Canis lupus familiaris: one gene and its partners. The protein of the gene in region 1 purifies or fractionates together with the protein of each later gene. This does not show direct contact. Links are inferred from orthologs where the notes say so. Each region holds a gene or a part of one and is shown on either strand. Other genes may lie near its edges. The genes, in order: PPP6R1, ANKRD52, PPP6C and ANKRD44.

Evidence for each region.
Region 2: the proteins of PPP6R1 (region 1) and ANKRD52 purify together in Homo sapiens (co-immunoprecipitation; 3 studies listed by BioGRID and IntAct, with this or other methods). This does not show direct contact. The link is inferred for Canis lupus familiaris from reciprocal best matches to the Homo sapiens genes PPP6R1 and ANKRD52.
Region 3: the proteins of PPP6R1 (region 1) and PPP6C purify together in Homo sapiens (affinity purification with mass spectrometry; 11 studies listed by BioGRID and IntAct, with this or other methods). This does not show direct contact. The link is inferred for Canis lupus familiaris from reciprocal best matches to the Homo sapiens genes PPP6R1 and PPP6C.
Region 4: the proteins of PPP6R1 (region 1) and ANKRD44 purify together in Homo sapiens (co-immunoprecipitation; 5 studies listed by BioGRID and IntAct, counting the BioPlex papers as one, with this or other methods). This does not show direct contact. The link is inferred for Canis lupus familiaris from reciprocal best matches to the Homo sapiens genes PPP6R1 and ANKRD44.

What each region holds. Positions count from the first base shown.
Region 1 is NC_049222.1:103,182,660-103,186,222, forward strand, and holds part of PPP6R1 (serine/threonine-protein phosphatase 6 regulatory subunit 1), read left to right. Parts: intron 1-264; coding exon 265-377; intron 378-482; coding exon 483-596; intron 597-1,190; coding exon 1,191-1,353; intron 1,354-1,438; coding exon 1,439-1,591; intron 1,592-1,741; coding exon 1,742-1,876; intron 1,877-2,241; coding exon 2,242-2,306; intron 2,307-2,395; coding exon 2,396-2,511; intron 2,512-2,607; coding exon 2,608-2,693; intron 2,694-2,799; coding exon 2,800-2,889; intron 2,890-2,960; coding exon 2,961-3,058; intron 3,059-3,563. UniProt on the Homo sapiens protein: Regulatory subunit of protein phosphatase 6 (PP6). May function as a scaffolding PP6 subunit. Involved in the PP6-mediated dephosphorylation of NFKBIE opposing its degradation in response to TNF-alpha.
Region 2 is NC_049231.1:925,263-929,515, reverse strand, and holds the start of ANKRD52 (serine/threonine-protein phosphatase 6 regulatory ankyrin repeat subunit C), read left to right. Parts: upstream 1-1,437; coding exon 1,438-1,464; intron 1,465-1,776; coding exon 1,777-1,860; intron 1,861-2,318; coding exon 2,319-2,397; intron 2,398-2,604; coding exon 2,605-2,675; intron 2,676-3,726; coding exon 3,727-3,927; intron 3,928-4,253. UniProt on the Homo sapiens protein: Putative regulatory subunit of protein phosphatase 6 (PP6) that may be involved in the recognition of phosphoprotein substrates.
Region 3 is NC_049230.1:57,997,919-58,001,481, forward strand, and holds part of PPP6C (serine/threonine-protein phosphatase 6 catalytic subunit), read left to right. Parts: intron 1-1,065; coding exon 1,066-1,131; intron 1,132-2,269; coding exon 2,270-2,411; intron 2,412-3,563.
Region 4 is NC_049258.1:6,563,071-6,566,633, reverse strand, and holds part of ANKRD44 (serine/threonine-protein phosphatase 6 regulatory ankyrin repeat subunit B), read left to right. Parts: intron 1-2,193; coding exon 2,194-2,394; intron 2,395-2,714; coding exon 2,715-2,802; intron 2,803-3,563. UniProt on the Homo sapiens protein: Putative regulatory subunit of protein phosphatase 6 (PP6) that may be involved in the recognition of phosphoprotein substrates.

The DNA of each region.
Region 1 (3,563 bases):
TAGCTTGTGTGCTCACCAGTTGGTAGACCTCGTGGTTGTTCCCTCCTTTGGCTACAGCAAATGGTGTGGAAACTTTCCTGGTTTCCCAGGTTCTCACCGTCTTCTTTCCTGATATTTGATGCCTTGTGTTCCTTGCCTTGGCACTTGTGTCTCCCTGTCTGTGTGATCCTCCACTCCTCTTCCTAAGGGTGGGGCGGTCAGCTCCAGGACATGAAGGGCACAGGTGCTGGGCTGGCATCCTCAGCTCTCTCTTTGCCTCCCCAGCAACATTCCAATGCATCCCAATCCCTGTGCGACATCATCCGCCTGAGCCGGGAGCAGATGATCCAGGTCCAAGACAGCCTAGAGCCCGACCAGCTGTTGACCACCCTGGAGAAGTGGGTTTGTGGTTCCAAGGCCTAGGGCGGGAAGATGTCCGGGGCCCTTCACCATGACCCCCACCCCGACCCCACCCTCATCCCCTGTCCCGACCCCTGCTCCAGGCAGGAGACGATTGAACAGCTCCTGAGCAACATGCTGGAGGGAGAGCAGAGCCAGTCTGTCATTGTGAGCGGGATCCAGGTGCTCCTGACCCTGCTGGAACCCCGAAGGCCAAGGTGAGGGGGCCCTGCCTCCCCAGGCAGCTATTGCCATCCCCCAGAGACCCTCTCCTTCTTTTTAGGGGTGAAGGTGTGGGGACTTGTCATCTACAAGCAGCATCCCCTTCTTGGTGGCCACTTAGGGTCTTTTTTTAAAGAATCTGGTTTTTTTTTTTTTTTTTTTTTTTTTTTTTTTTGTATTTTTAAAATATTTTATTTATTTATGAGAGAGAGAGAGAGGGGCAGAGACACAAGTAGAGGGAGAAGCAGGCTGTCCGCAGGAGCCCGATGTCCGATGTGGGACTCAATCCTGGACTCTGGGATCACACCCCAAGTCGGGCAGACGCTCAACCGCTGGGCCACCCAGGCATCCCACCACTTAGGGTCTTGGGAGAGGAGTTCTCAGTTCCTGTCTGAGGCCATGTAAACCACCTGTAGCTTTGAGCTGACTGGCCGAGTCCAGGGCCCTATAGGCCCATGATCCCTGGGCATCCCCCCCCCTCCCCCCGTGCACGCTGTACTTCCACAGGAAGCAGCTTGTCTCTCCCTTCCACATGTGCCATACATATGCATATGCGTGCACACAGGCCCTGCATCCTGTCCCCCCTGCAGGTCCGAGTCTGTGACCGTGAACAACTTCTTTAGCAGTGTGGATGGGCAGCTGGAGCTTCTGGCCCAGGCGACCCTGGATAGCAGCATGTCCAGTGTGGGCGCCCTGCACGCCCTGCGCCCACGGCTCAGCCGTTTCCACCAGCTTCTGCTTGAGCCCCCTGAGGTAGGCTGGGAGTCCAAGGATGTAGGGTGGCAGGGAGGGCAGCCCCACGGTTCTAGGTGGCACTGAGCCTCCCATGTGCCTGTAGCTGGAGCCACTGCGTACTACCTGGGGCAACCTGGCCCCGCCTCTGGGCAATACTCGGCTGCATGTGGTCAAGCTGCTGGCCAGCGCTCTGAGCGCCAACGACCCAGCCCTGACGCAGGAGCTCCTGGCACTGGATGTGCCCAACACCATGCTGGTGCGGAGAAGGGGGTGGGGTGGGGTGGGGTGGGGTGGAGGGCCCGGGCAGGGTGGGGAAGGGCGGGATGGGGATGAGGGGGTGGAGGGGGCCCTGGGCAGGGGTGGATGAGGGGCCTTTCCATGCCAGCCTCCACTGCCCGCCCCCCAGGACCTCTTCTTCCACTACATGTTCAACAACTTCCTGCATGCCCAAGTGGAGTTCTGTGTGAGTGCCATGCTCAGTGCTGGGCCTCCTTCCGACAGCAGCCTTGAGATGCCTGTCCCAAATCCCGTTGTGAAACATGTAAGCTGGGGTTCCCGGGTACCCCACTCTGTTCCTGTGGGTCACCCACTGTATCCCTCTGCCTTCTCTAGGTGGCCTCACATGCTGGGGGCCAGGGGCTCAGCCTTGTCCTTAGGTCTGTCTGGGAGAAATGGAGGATGATGTGCAGGCGGGTGCAGACGGGAGCCCTCAGGGGGCAGCAGTGTCCTCTGGGGTGACAGATGCTACTCTAGGGGAGGTACTTCCTGGGTTATAGCCTAGGGCCTTGGACATGGCCCCCACCCCCCCTCCCACTCCTCTGTAAATCCCCCTGGGTGCTGGGAGGGGCACGTCCTGGCCCTGCCCCCATGTCCCCGGTGCCCCCACTGTCTCCACTGCCCTCACAGCTCCTGCAGCAGTGCCGCCTGGTGGAGCGCATCCTGACATCCTGGGAAGAGAACGACCTTGTGCAGTGAGCGGCCCCTGGACTTCTTGCCCTTGGGGAGGGCGGGGCGGGGGCGCATGGGCCCATGTCCAGCTGCGGCCTCCGATCTTGCCCAGGTCTACCGGGGGCCCCCGCAAAGGCTACATGGGCCACCTGACGAGACTGGCCAACGCCCTGGTGCAGAACACGGAGAAGGGGCCCAATGCTGAGCAGCTGGGGCAGCTGCTGAAGGGTGAGGGTCCGGGAGGGTGTCGCCCCAGGGCTGGGGGCAGGGCTGCTGGCTGTAGTGGCGGGGGGCCTCACGTCCTGTCTCTTTTGCGCTGAACAGAACTGCCGGGTGAGCAGCAGGAGCGGTGGGAGGCCTTTGTGGCCGGACCCCTGGCCGAGACGAACAAGAAGAACATGGTGGACCTGGTAAGGCACCGCAGCTCTCTGCCGCGGTTCTGTTCTCCACCTGCACCTCCCTGAGGCTGCACCCTGCCATCCTGGCCCTCACCCCTTGCCTGCCCCCATGCCCCAGGTGAGCACGCACCACCTGCACTCCTCCAGCGATGATGAGGACGACCGGCTCAAGGAGTTCAACTTCCCCGAGGAGGCAGTACTGCAGCAGGTGGGCTGGGGGCCAGGGGCCTGCCCCTTTCTGCCTGGCCCCACCCATCCCTGACCACTGCTCCTCCACAGGCCTTCATGGACTTCCAGATGCAGCGCATGACCTCAGCCTTCATCGACCACTTTGGCTTCAATGATGAGGAGTTTGGGGAGCAGGAAGAAAGCGTGAAGTGAGTGTGCTCTTCTGTAGGCGAGCAGGGGTGAGAACACAGCAGGTGGGAGCACGAGTACTCGCTGGCCGTGTGGCACTTTCTGCCAGGCTTCCTGCGTCCTCCTTGGTCCCACCAGTCCTGGCACTTGGGCTCAGCATGGGGAGCGACCAGCTGGGGCTCCTCTGTCCCCTCCTTGGGGAGTCAGCTGCGTGTGTAGCTGGTGGGATGACCCCTTGATGCCAGAGCAGCCCCCAGCCCTCCACCAGGCCCTGTGCTTACAGGAGAACTTGAGCTTTCGGTGACTTCTACAGCTGCTTTGTTGAGCAATAGCAATTTAACTTGGTGTTGCAGTCATCAACTTTCTTCTTTAGTTACCAAGTTTTCTACCACAGGCATCTGTTCTTTTTGTAGTCAGAAAAAAAAAATAAGAGTTTTCTACCGTTTTGCAAATTGATGAGCAAGTTTATGGCAGCAAAGCTGGAGGGGAGCTCGGGTCGGGGTGGGAGCGAGGTTGGCCAGGAGG
Region 2 (4,253 bases), on another chromosome or scaffold:
CGAAGCCTAACAAAAGGGAAAAACCCTGTTAACCGAGGAAGATTTCTTGGAGGAATAGGTTAAGTTTTAAGTAATGTAAATTTTTTTCAATACGGTAGAAGTATACAAAAATAGTTTTTTTTTTTAAGATTTCATTTATTCATTCATGAAAGACAGAGAGAGAGGCAGAGAAACAGGCAGAGGGAGTAGCAGGCTCCATCCAAGGAAGCTTGATGCGGGACTCGATCCCAGGACCCCAGGATCACCCCTGGGCTGAAGGCAGATGTCCAACCACTGAGCCACCTGGGAGTCCCTCAAAAACTGCTGAAGGTATCTAATGATAGGTATTTTCCCCTCTCATTCCTCATTCCCTGTTCCCTAATTTCTCTCTCCAGGAAAGAGAGAAAACCATTTCTCTCTCAGTTATCAGTGTCTGTATCTTTCCGGTGGGAATCAAGATACCAAAGGTAATGAAGGGTACAGATTGGTTAGAGAGGAAAGGGGAGCTTTTATCCGTATGCCTTGACAGGGGGCCAACTTGCGGCCCTTCTTCCTCAACGTGCTCCCTCTTAGAGCACACAGATTGAATTGTTGAGCTCTAAGCAGGACCTTGGATCACCTTTTATAAATTGCACCAATTTTTCAATATCCAGCTTTCTCCCCTCTTTTCCTGTTCTGAGCTGGGATGACCTCCATCAGTATCTTGCCTGATTGGCTGCCCTCTGGCCTCTCCAGCGCAGGAGGGAAAGCACCCACCCTCTTCTGGGGAGAAGCCACTGGGCCGCCCTACCGCCCTAACCCGGCCGTGGACTAACTGGGAGTTGGGGAGGCGCCCCTTCTGCGGGCCTCGGGGGCCCTCTTCAGCCGCCGGCCGCCCCGCCTGCGTGCGGGGGTGCGGCGCCCCGGGGCCCCCGGGGGTCCTCTCCGCAGTCAGCGCTCGGCTGCTTCCCTTCTCCCGAGTCCTGCCACCGCCGGAGAAGATGTGCGTCCTCCTCGTCCCCGGGGCCACTGCCGGCCGTGACCCCAGGTCGCCACGCCCGTGGGTCCCCAGGTCCGCGGCGGACCTGGGGCACGTAACCGCCGGCGGGAGGCGTTACCTCCCGCGGGGGCGCCGCGGGGCCGGGGGCGCGCCCAGGGGCCCAGGCCGCGAGGCCGCTCAGCCCCGGGAGGACCTGGGCCCGGGCGTCGGGCGGCAGCGGGCGGCGGAGCGCGGGGGGGGCCCGCGGCGGCCGCAGCCCGCGGGAGGGGGCGGGGCGGGGCGGGGCTGGGGGCGGGGGCCGCGGCCCAGCTCCGCCGCCAGGGAGCGCTGCGGGCTCCCGCTCGCCCGCCCCCCGGTAGGCGGGGCCGCGCTCTCCCCGCAGCCGCCGCCGCAGCCGCCGCCTGGGCCGCCCCGTGTCCCCGGTGGAGCCGCCGCCGCCGCCGCCGGGAGCTCGATGCGGACGGAGCCCGGGCCGGGCCATGGGGATCCTCAGCATCACGGACCAGGTCAGCCCGCCCGTCCTTGCCCGCCGCGTCCCTCCGGGGCCCGGCGCCGCCGCCACGCGAGCCCGGGGATGTGCGGCCTAGGCTGGGCCCGAGCCCGGGGCCCCCGCGGCTGCCGCCCCGCCCCGCGCCGCGCTCCCCTCAAGCGCGCCGGCGTCCTTGGGGGCCTGGCGACCGGCCAGCGCGGCGGGCCCCCGGCGCCCGGCCCCCGGCGCGCAGCCCCGCCCCGCCCCGCCGCCCCCCGGCGGGCCAGGTGCCCCCGCGCCCCCGGCCGGCTCGCCGCGGCCCGCTGGCTGAGCGCCGGTTCTCCCGCAGCCGCCCCTGGTCCAGGCCATCTTTAGCCGCGATGTGGAGGAAGTGCGTTCCCTGCTCTCGCAGAAGGAGAACATCAACGTGCTGGTGAGCTGGGATCGGGGAGGATGCGGAGCCGGCGCCCGGGCCCTGCCGCGCCGGTCCCCGCCCCGCAGCGGGCGGCTCCGCGACGCCGACGAGGCCGCAGCGCGCTCCCCCGGGGTGGGCGCCGGCTCCGCGGCGGACCCGGGGAGCAGGTCAGGCTGGAAGCCTCAGTGGCGCCGAGGATGCCCAGCAGCGGCGGTCGCTTCCGAACCAGCAGTGTCTGCAGCGCCCCCACCCCTCCTGGAAGAGGGAGGCCGCCTCCCAGCCCCAGGGCCCTGACCCCTGACTCCTGACTCCCTGACGCCGCCCGCGCTAGGTGCCTGTTTTGACCCAGGACTGGGCTCTAGGAGGCTGCAGAACCTGTGGGAAGAGGGCGGAAGGGCCTGGAGCTCTAAGGCTTGGGCTGGGGTCCCTGGTAGTTCACCCATCCCTGCAGCTGCTGCTCTTTTCTGCCTTCCCAGGACCAAGAGAGGCGGACCCCATTGCATGCTGCTGCCTACGTAGGCGATGTCCCCATCCTCCAGTTGCTACTGATGTCAGGTGAAAGGGGGGAGCTGGAAGGTGTGGCTCCTGGGGAGGGGACCTGAAGGAAGAGCCCTCCCCTCCATCCCCCCATCCAAGCATTGCTCTCTGGACCTTGATGTGCGAGAGGCATTCCATCTCTATCCATATTCCTTGGCCTGGTTACGGCTTTCCTTCCCCGTTGCTGTCCCTCTCCCACTGAAAGAGGAAATTGTATCCCCACAGGTGCTAATGTCAATGCTAAGGACACACTGTGGCTGACCCCTCTTCATCGTGCTGCTGCTTCCCGAAATGAGGTACCAGCCTCCTGTGCCTTTTCACCCTTTCAAAGAGGATGAGTTGGTTAAAGGTGGAAGTGAAGGATTCGAGAGCCTCAGCTCTCTGCCTTACCAGCTGGTCTACCCCTAGGTCAGGAGACTAGACCTTGGCCCCTCCCTCCCACCCCTAGAACTGGCTGGTGAGGGGGAGCTGAGTGTTGCCAGCTGATGTGACGTCAGGGGAGAGCTTAACACTGGGCTGGCAGACTGCAGGGGGCCCTGCTGCCAGGCCTGAGTGACTCATCTCTCCCTGGGGGGCCACCTTGGAGTCTGATCCCCCTCTGAGCACTGAGATTTCTTACCTTGTGATGGAGGGATGGAGGGGCTGAGGGTAGTGATCTGTTGCATCCCTGCCCCTCAAGCAGCCTGAAAGTTGACAGCATAGGGGTCACATGTGTCTCATCAATTGGGTCCATCAACCCTGGGTAGCAGGGAAGAGGAGACCTCTCTCTTGGCTTGATGGTCAGTTCCCTGGCTTTGACCAGCAGGGTGAGGGACTGAGGCCAATGGGAATGGGGTGGGTTGTGATTAGGAGGGACCTTTTAGCCTGGGTTTTAGAGGGGGACCAGCATCTGTTTGCTTACTGAGGTAGTAGAAATGATTTTGGTGCCTATTGAAGGACTGAAGGCGGGTATTCGGGGCATTAAGGTAGCAGGAGTGTGTATTTTTCCTAGTGAAAAGTAGTGAGGGATTGGAATCCTCTTTATATGTGGATTTGCTTGGTAGTAGCTGTGTGCATGGGTGAAGATTTTCAGAGTCTGGCTGGGGAGTGATACCAGGTGGCTTGAGGAAAAGGAAGGGACCATGCTTTCCTCAGCAAGGTCTGGGAAGATTTTTAGACTCTAAGAAGATTCGGAAGATGGGAAGTACGTATTGACAGGCTATGTACGAAAAATGGGAAAAGACTCTGTGCTGGGGAGTTGGGAGCTGGGGCTGTGTGTGTCATGCTGACCTGTTTTTCCCTCCACTATTTGTTTTACCTCCCACTGCCCCTCTGTCTTCTCTCTTACCTCCCCCCGCTCCTTAACAGAAGGTGCTGGGACTGCTGCTGGCACATTCAGCAGATGTGAACGCCCGGGACAAGCTGTGGCAGACACCATTGCATGTGGCTGCCGCCAACCGGGCCACGAAGTGTGCTGAGGCTCTGGCACCCCTGTTGAGTAGCCTCAACGTGGCCGATAGGAGCGGGCGTAGTGCCCTGCACCATGCAGTGCATAGTGGGCATCTCGAGGTGAGGACTGCTCCCATTCATGCCCAGCCTAGTGCCGTGCCTTCCCTTCCCACTCACCATCCTCTGCTTCTGGGCCATCAGGTCTGGGAGAAGCGGCCTGGATGACTATATAGACACTTGGGCTCAAGATCAAATGAATGGTTGGGTTAGATTGAAATTCTTGACTTGGGGATCCCTGGGTGGCGCAGCGGTTTGGCGCCTGCCTTCGGCCCAGGGCGCGATCCTGGAGACCCGGGATCGAATCCCACGTCGGGCTCCCGGTGCATGGAGCCTGCTTCTCCCTCTGCCTATGTCTCTGCCTCTCTCTCTCTCTGTGTGACTATCAT
Region 3 (3,563 bases), on another chromosome or scaffold:
TTCATTTATTTGCTTGCTAATTTTAAGAAGGTAGGAAAATTTTATTTAAACTTCTAAAGTTTTTTTTTTAACTTCAAGCAAGTAATAACTTCAGATTTATGAAATATTGTTATAAAGGGCAGTGTTTTATTTCTTTGAGTAGTTAACATTTAAATTTCAGTTTTGTTCACTATGACTAAGATTCTTGTATGTTTTAAGTGTTAGAAATTGAATAATTTTATTTTCAAGTATAAAAGATGATTGTATAGGAAGTGATTAGTTATAGTTGGTACAGTAAATTATAGTAAATTCCTTTAATCCAAAATCCTTAGAAAAACTGAAGTTTTCTTTAGGAATTAGGATTAAGATAATCTAGTTGACTGAAGTTACCACATGTACAATTTGTCAATTACTAATTTTCAGTCACATAGAAAATGATGAAATATACAGTTCTTTTTTACTGATTATTGAGAAGACATTCCATAGCTATAGAGCCTCCAAAGTAGAATGTGGGAGGGTAGGTTGATCTGCTTTTCATGGTAACTGTGAAGTGTCGTGTAAATTCATTCTTTGAAAAAAATTCTTACCCACTTGCTTCCTTATCTTTTGTCTCATTAAAATAGATGCTGAGTATGGGTGGGGTGGTTAGCTTAGCTTATTAACAAGTTAGATAATTGATCAGTTATTTCAAATTCTCAAGTGATAGGGCACCTGGCTGACTCAGTCAATGGAGCATGTGACTCTTGATCTTGGGGTCATGAGTTCAAGCCTCATGTTGGGCATAGAGATTACTTAAAAAAATTCTAGATGACAAGATAAATGAAAGAAATTTGAGGGAGAAGGCCTATAACATTAATGATCTAGGAATGACCTTATTGGTAATTGTGAGATTTATTTTAGTGCTTCTATTAGGCTTGAGAGCTCTGTGCTTGGCAGTTTTGCTTACACTTTATTTCTTTTTATAAGTGTCAGTATTTCAGGCCTTCCTAATTACATGCTCCTTTACACATTTCGCTCTCACTTTTATTATTTTACTCCTTTACAGGAATTTGTAATTAATCAGCATATATTGACTTTCTTTTATAGTTTTATGACCTTTGCGAACTATTCAGAACTGGAGGTCAGGTTCCTGACACAAACTACATATTTATGGTATGTAAACCCACATGATACCAAATACTTATTTAAAATGGAAAGCATCTGATTTATTACATGGAAATTATATAACAATTTCTTTGTCATATGACAATCACTTTGTAAATATATGAAAAGGTGATGCTATACTTTTCTACATTTTGCCATCTTGTCTGGTTGAAAATGATTGCTTTAGTAAATTGCCATATGCATAGGACTGGGTTCTAGGCATAAGTAATGGTTGGCAGAAAAATAACCCAGAACCTCCCAGGATTAAGGCACAGAGCTTTAATTTACTGTTATTTTATCATATCTTCTTGAGCATTCATTTTCATCTGTTATCAATTTGTAGATTGATGAATATATGAACATACATATTTGCTATTAAGGTGGATATTTGCTTACTTTCCTTTTGGAATGTCATGTTACTATTGAATTTTTTATGAATCCTATCATTTTCTTTCTTCTAGAGGTTTGTGTGTCACTTTCCTATTCTTTGAGCTGTTTTCCTATTGATCTAACAACATTGTCCCAAATAAAATACTAATGGGAAGTGTAAGTAGTATGGCTTCACAAGCAGTTGTTAAATACACAACTGAACCTAAAACACTAATTAAGGTATATACTTTTATAAAAACACTATTTCTTCAAGTTGTTAGGTTTTTTTATATAGTTACAATGATTTTTGGGATGCCTGGCTGGGTCAGTCAGGAGAGTGTGTGACTTGATCTCAGGGTCATGAGTTTGAGCCCCACTTTGGGTGTAGAGATTACTTAAACATTTAAAAATAATAATTAAATGATTTTTGAAATTCATTAAAAAATTTTGGATTCACATGTGACCTTTTTGAAACACCTGCTAATGTAGGTAATAGAGAATTAGAAAAATGGTGGTTTTTCAGGGAAGATCCTTCAGAGAATTGGATAGCAGGTTCCTGTAGGCCTCCTGAATCATAAGACTGGCACACTTAGTAGAGACTGCTTATTTACTTCGATTTGAATTTTTTGTTAAAACCCAATTTCCAAATAAATCAATGTATGACCCTTCAATTTTGTTATTTTTTTTTTTTTGCCATGTCTCTGAGTTTGTACACCTTGGTATAATTTAAAAAATACATTGTTGCTATTATTTCTAACTGTAAACTTTTACTTTACAGGGTGATTTTGTAGACAGAGGTTACTATAGTTTGGAGACCTTCACTTACCTTCTTGCACTAAAGGCTAAATGGCCTGATCGTATCACACTTTTGCGAGGAAATCATGAAAGTAGACAGATAACACAGGTGTATGGATTTTATGGTAAGACTTTCTATTTCTCTGATTCTCTGAATATTGCTTTCCTTTCCTCTTTGGGAAAAAAGCCATACAAGTCATACATGTGCTTTATATAAAGTTAGAAATATAAATCATCTTTTTCCACTTTTTAACTCCTCCTCTTCCCCCATTCAACTGAGAACCTTACCATGGAGAGAGAACTGTTCTTAATTTTTTGATGTACATCATCCTGGATCATTGCCCTAAAGTGTAGCCCTCAGTTTACATCATTGGAATCATCAGGGGTACTTGTTAAACATGTACATTGCTGGGCCCCCACTGAAAACCTGTTGGAGTGGGAATCCTAGAATCTGCTGAAGGTAAATGTTCTGCACTTGAAAGTTGAGAACCTATTATATATTATATGTATATGTGTGTGTATGTGTGTGTTTATAAACATATTTGTGTGTGTACATACCTGCTTTTTTCACTTAATGCTGTGACCAGCCTTTCTTTACTTCATTGACATTATTTTTATAGTTGCATTATATTACACTGTATGGATGTACTATAATTGATTAAATCAGTACCTTTAACATTGGACATTGGAGTTGGGTTTTTTTTTTTTTTTTTGGAGTTGTTTTTAAGTTGCTGACATATATAATATTGTATGTGTATAACATATATAATTATGTATATATATGTGTGTGTATCCATATGTTCCATCCAGAGAGTGCTAGGACCTCAGGGGTCAGAAACAGAACTTAGCCATTAAAAGCAAAATATATCTGCTTCTATAAAACTTGTATATGGTTGAAAGTTTTAAAAAATGAAGTTAGGAAAAAAAATTAGGTTACAAAGCTCTTTGAAGGAGATAGAGAGCAGGACTGTTGAGGTTATTAACATGAATTTTCCTTAAGCTTAATTAAGGCATATATTGAGATATTTGAAAATATTAATCTCATAACCCTTTAGTTTCAGATTTTATATTTTGGATTCTCTTATGTCATTATAAAGATGAGCTAAACTCTTATTTGTAAGCCACTATCAATTACTAAATTGAGAAATTTTGATAATTTATTATTATATGTTAATAGTAATTGATAAGTTAGATGGCTAATATTTGTCCCCTTTTTACAAGTTACTTTTGATTTTCATTCACAAAATAACAAGTACCATTTAAAATAAAAGTTTTTG
Region 4 (3,563 bases), on another chromosome or scaffold:
TTAAACTAAAATGGGACGCTTGGGTGGCTCAGTGGTTGAGCATCTGCCTTCGGCTCAGGGCGTGATCCTGGGTCTGGGGATCGAGATCTGCACTGGGCTCCCTGCAAGGGGCCTGCTTCTCTGTCTATGTCTCTGCCTGTCTCTCTGTGTCTCTCATGAATAAATGAATAAGAGCTTTAAAAAAAAAAAACAAAGTTAAACAAAAATATCATTTTTTTTCTTATTTAAATCTTAACTTTTATATGGTGGTTTAGCTTTACTTTTGTTTGTTTTTTGTTCACACAGCTAGCTTTTAGAGCTTGCTAGCTTTTAGAGTCTGGCTAATATTTATTCACAAGTGTATGTTAAGAATACACATACACGTTTCACTCTAATATGAGCTCCAGGAATGTTACTTAGTAGTCATTACCTTATTGTCTTGCTGAGGATAGGTGACATATATCTTTTTTTTTCCTTTTTGATAGTTTTAAAGAATTATTTGTTTGCTTGGGCCCTATGAGTATATTGTTTATGGCATCTAAATGGAGCATCACACTATGTTTAAACTGTATTCTCTAATTTACAAAACTAATTTTTTTGCTCTCATTCTACTGTCCATGTTAGCCATTCATCTCAATGTGTTGCTACTACTGATGCATAGAACATTCTTCTTATTTTGTTATTTATGTCCCTGATACAAATGTTAATCTTAAGATTTTAAATGATTTACTATCTGAGCACCTGTATGTATCTGCATGATAAAGTAGATTGGATAGTTAAGGCCTGTGAGGAATATGGTGGACAGGGGTAAGTTCTTGATCCATGAAGGGTGGCAGGAGTGTGGCACATTTCATTGCCTTTCATTGGTTTATTGATGCCACATTGAGAAGATGTTTATAAAGGAGTCCCAGTAACTGGTTCTAGGGATATCTCTAGAAGTAAAGAGAAACAACCAACAGTCACTCCCATCTTAAGAGAAGCTATATCCTTTTCTCGGTGGAACAGAAGAGTGTCCTCAATCCTAGCCATACAACAAAGTTACAGAAGCTTTACAGAAATTCTGAGGCCAGTTAGAATCTCTGGTGTGGCACCAGCCATCTGTATTTTTTTTTTTTTTTTAAGTAGGCTTTGGAGCCCAGTGTAGAGCCCAACAAGGGGCTCAAAATCATGACCCTGAGATTAAAACCTGAGCTGAGATCAAGAGTCAGATCAAGAGTCAGAGCCACCTAGGCACCCCAGCCATCTGTATTTTTAAGAGCTTCTCAGGTGATTCCATTATATAGCCAAGGTTGAGAGTAATAGTTCAAGAGGCTTATAAGCTGATTAGGTCAACGGAAGGAAAATAAAAAGTGTAAGTCTCAGGAAAGGTGAGGGAACTCAATAGTAGAAAAGAAGTTGCCCCACTATAACATGGAAGAGGTTGGGGGAAACACAGAACAATTTTGTAGCTTCAAGTTGAGGTAGTAATAGACATCTTCCCTTGACTGCTATTGATCGCACAGTGAGGGTTAAGATGTTGGCGGAGACAAAGATTTATAAATCGATCCAAGAACGTCCAAAGGGCTTTGAGGCCTTTGGCTTTGGAAGATGGAGGCTTATTGACAAGCACCTCCAAGTTTAGATGATCTTTGGGGGCCTTTTGACTTATGGATATTTTACCCCAGGTGTGCACTTGCACGGGGTGCTCTCATTTGTCCTAAGGGTACTTTACACCCTAGTAGGAAACCTTACACTTAGAAAGTTTACTTGGTTTTATTTTTATTTTTTTTAATTTTTATTTATTTATGATAGTCACAGAGAGAGAGAGAGAGAGAGAGAGAGAGGCAGAGACACAGGCAGAGGGAGAAGCAGGCTCCATGCACCGGGAGCCCGAAGTGGGATTCGATCCCGGGTTTCCAGGATCACGCCCTGGGCCAAAGGCAGGCGCCAAACCGCTGCGCCACCCAGGGATCCCGCTTACTTGGTTTTAAAGCTGTGCCAGGGCTCTTGGCCTAACACAGAAAGATAAATGGATCTGCTTTTGTCTGTGCCACTCTTTCGATCTTTATCACATATTACCTTGCTTTTCTCAGAAGAACCTACATCTTGAGCCAGCCTGTGAGGGCACAGAGCCTTCCCTTCCTGTGGCTCCAGGGTCTAGTGAAGCGTCTTCTATCCAATCAGTGTTGATTGAGCCTCTGTCAGTGACCCCTGCCAACTCTGCCTCTGTTGTAGGAAGCAGTGCAAGTATTGATTAAGCACTCGGCTGACGTCAACGCGAGGGACAAGAATTGGCAGACGCCACTCCACGTGGCAGCTGCCAACAAGGCTGTCAAGTGTGCAGAAGTGATCATTCCCCTGCTGAGCAGCGTCAATGTCTCCGACCGAGGTGGGCGCACCGCCTTGCACCACGCTGCTCTGAATGGCCACGTGGAGGTGAGTGCCCTCATCACTGGCGCCAAGCATTCTCCCTACAGACTCTCTGGGCCCCAAGTGGAAGCCAGGCTTACGCTGAGGCTTTCAGAGAGCATGATGCTACCATCCACACACCCAACCTTAGGCAGCGACAGCTAGTTTTAACTGTACAGCCAGGGGTTGAAAAAGGAGCTGTCACCTTGGCCTTTTCCTCTGACACACGTGCCATGGGGTTGTCTGTGACATCAGCTTCCTACTGTGTTTGAATTCCAAGTCACTGACCTGCCTTTATATTGGATGTTAATTTGACTCAGATTATCTGCATGTTGGTTTTCTTTCAGATGGTCAATCTACTCTTGGCCAAAGGAGCAAACATCAACGCATTTGATAAGAAGGACCGGCGTGCTCTGCACTGGGCGGCATATATGGGTAAGAATTCCATGAATGGAAAGAAAAATGCAAACAACTGTAACTAAAGAAGCTGTGAGCCTGTTGCTAAGCGTGTAGGCTTTCTCTTGGGCAAGCCTGACTTCTTTCCAAGGTTGGGATCTAACTGAGTTAAGATTTGGGCCATTTTACTGGCATACGTTGAGTGCTCTCGTTAGACAGTTGCTCTGTCAGAGGTTTATTTACCCCACAGAGAGGAGGAGGGATGAATCATGGCCTGGACCTCATTGAATGTGCTCCAATCTGGACTGGAAAGCAGCACAAACGGTGCTTCTTCTAACTTGTTATGGCAGCAAAATGAAGTATTTAAAAAGAAAAAGGACTGGCTAGCAAAGCAAGGACATGAATGCCATTTGTCCTTTTATTTATAAATATTTTGGAAAGAAACAAAAAGGAAGGAAGGAAAGCCCCCTGGCTGTTGTGTAGGTTGAAGTGACAAGGGTCACCATGGATTATCCTGCTACTCTACAGCCGACGAAGCTGAAGTTTGCGGTTCTTGCTTCTGCCAGCTTGGGTGGGAGAAATGAAGGAAGAGGTTACATTGCTGTGTTTTTCTTTTTCACTTTTGTTGGCACAAATACCACTGATACATGACAGACCTCATAGAGTTTATTCTCAGTGTAGATTGGTGAGGAACAAAGAACTGAGATCCTTCCTTTGTGTTTCTAACTGGAGAACATTCTGCAATTTGAAAAGCAGATTCGATTCTATCAGCCCCAAGTTATAAACAACCTGAGTGCCCA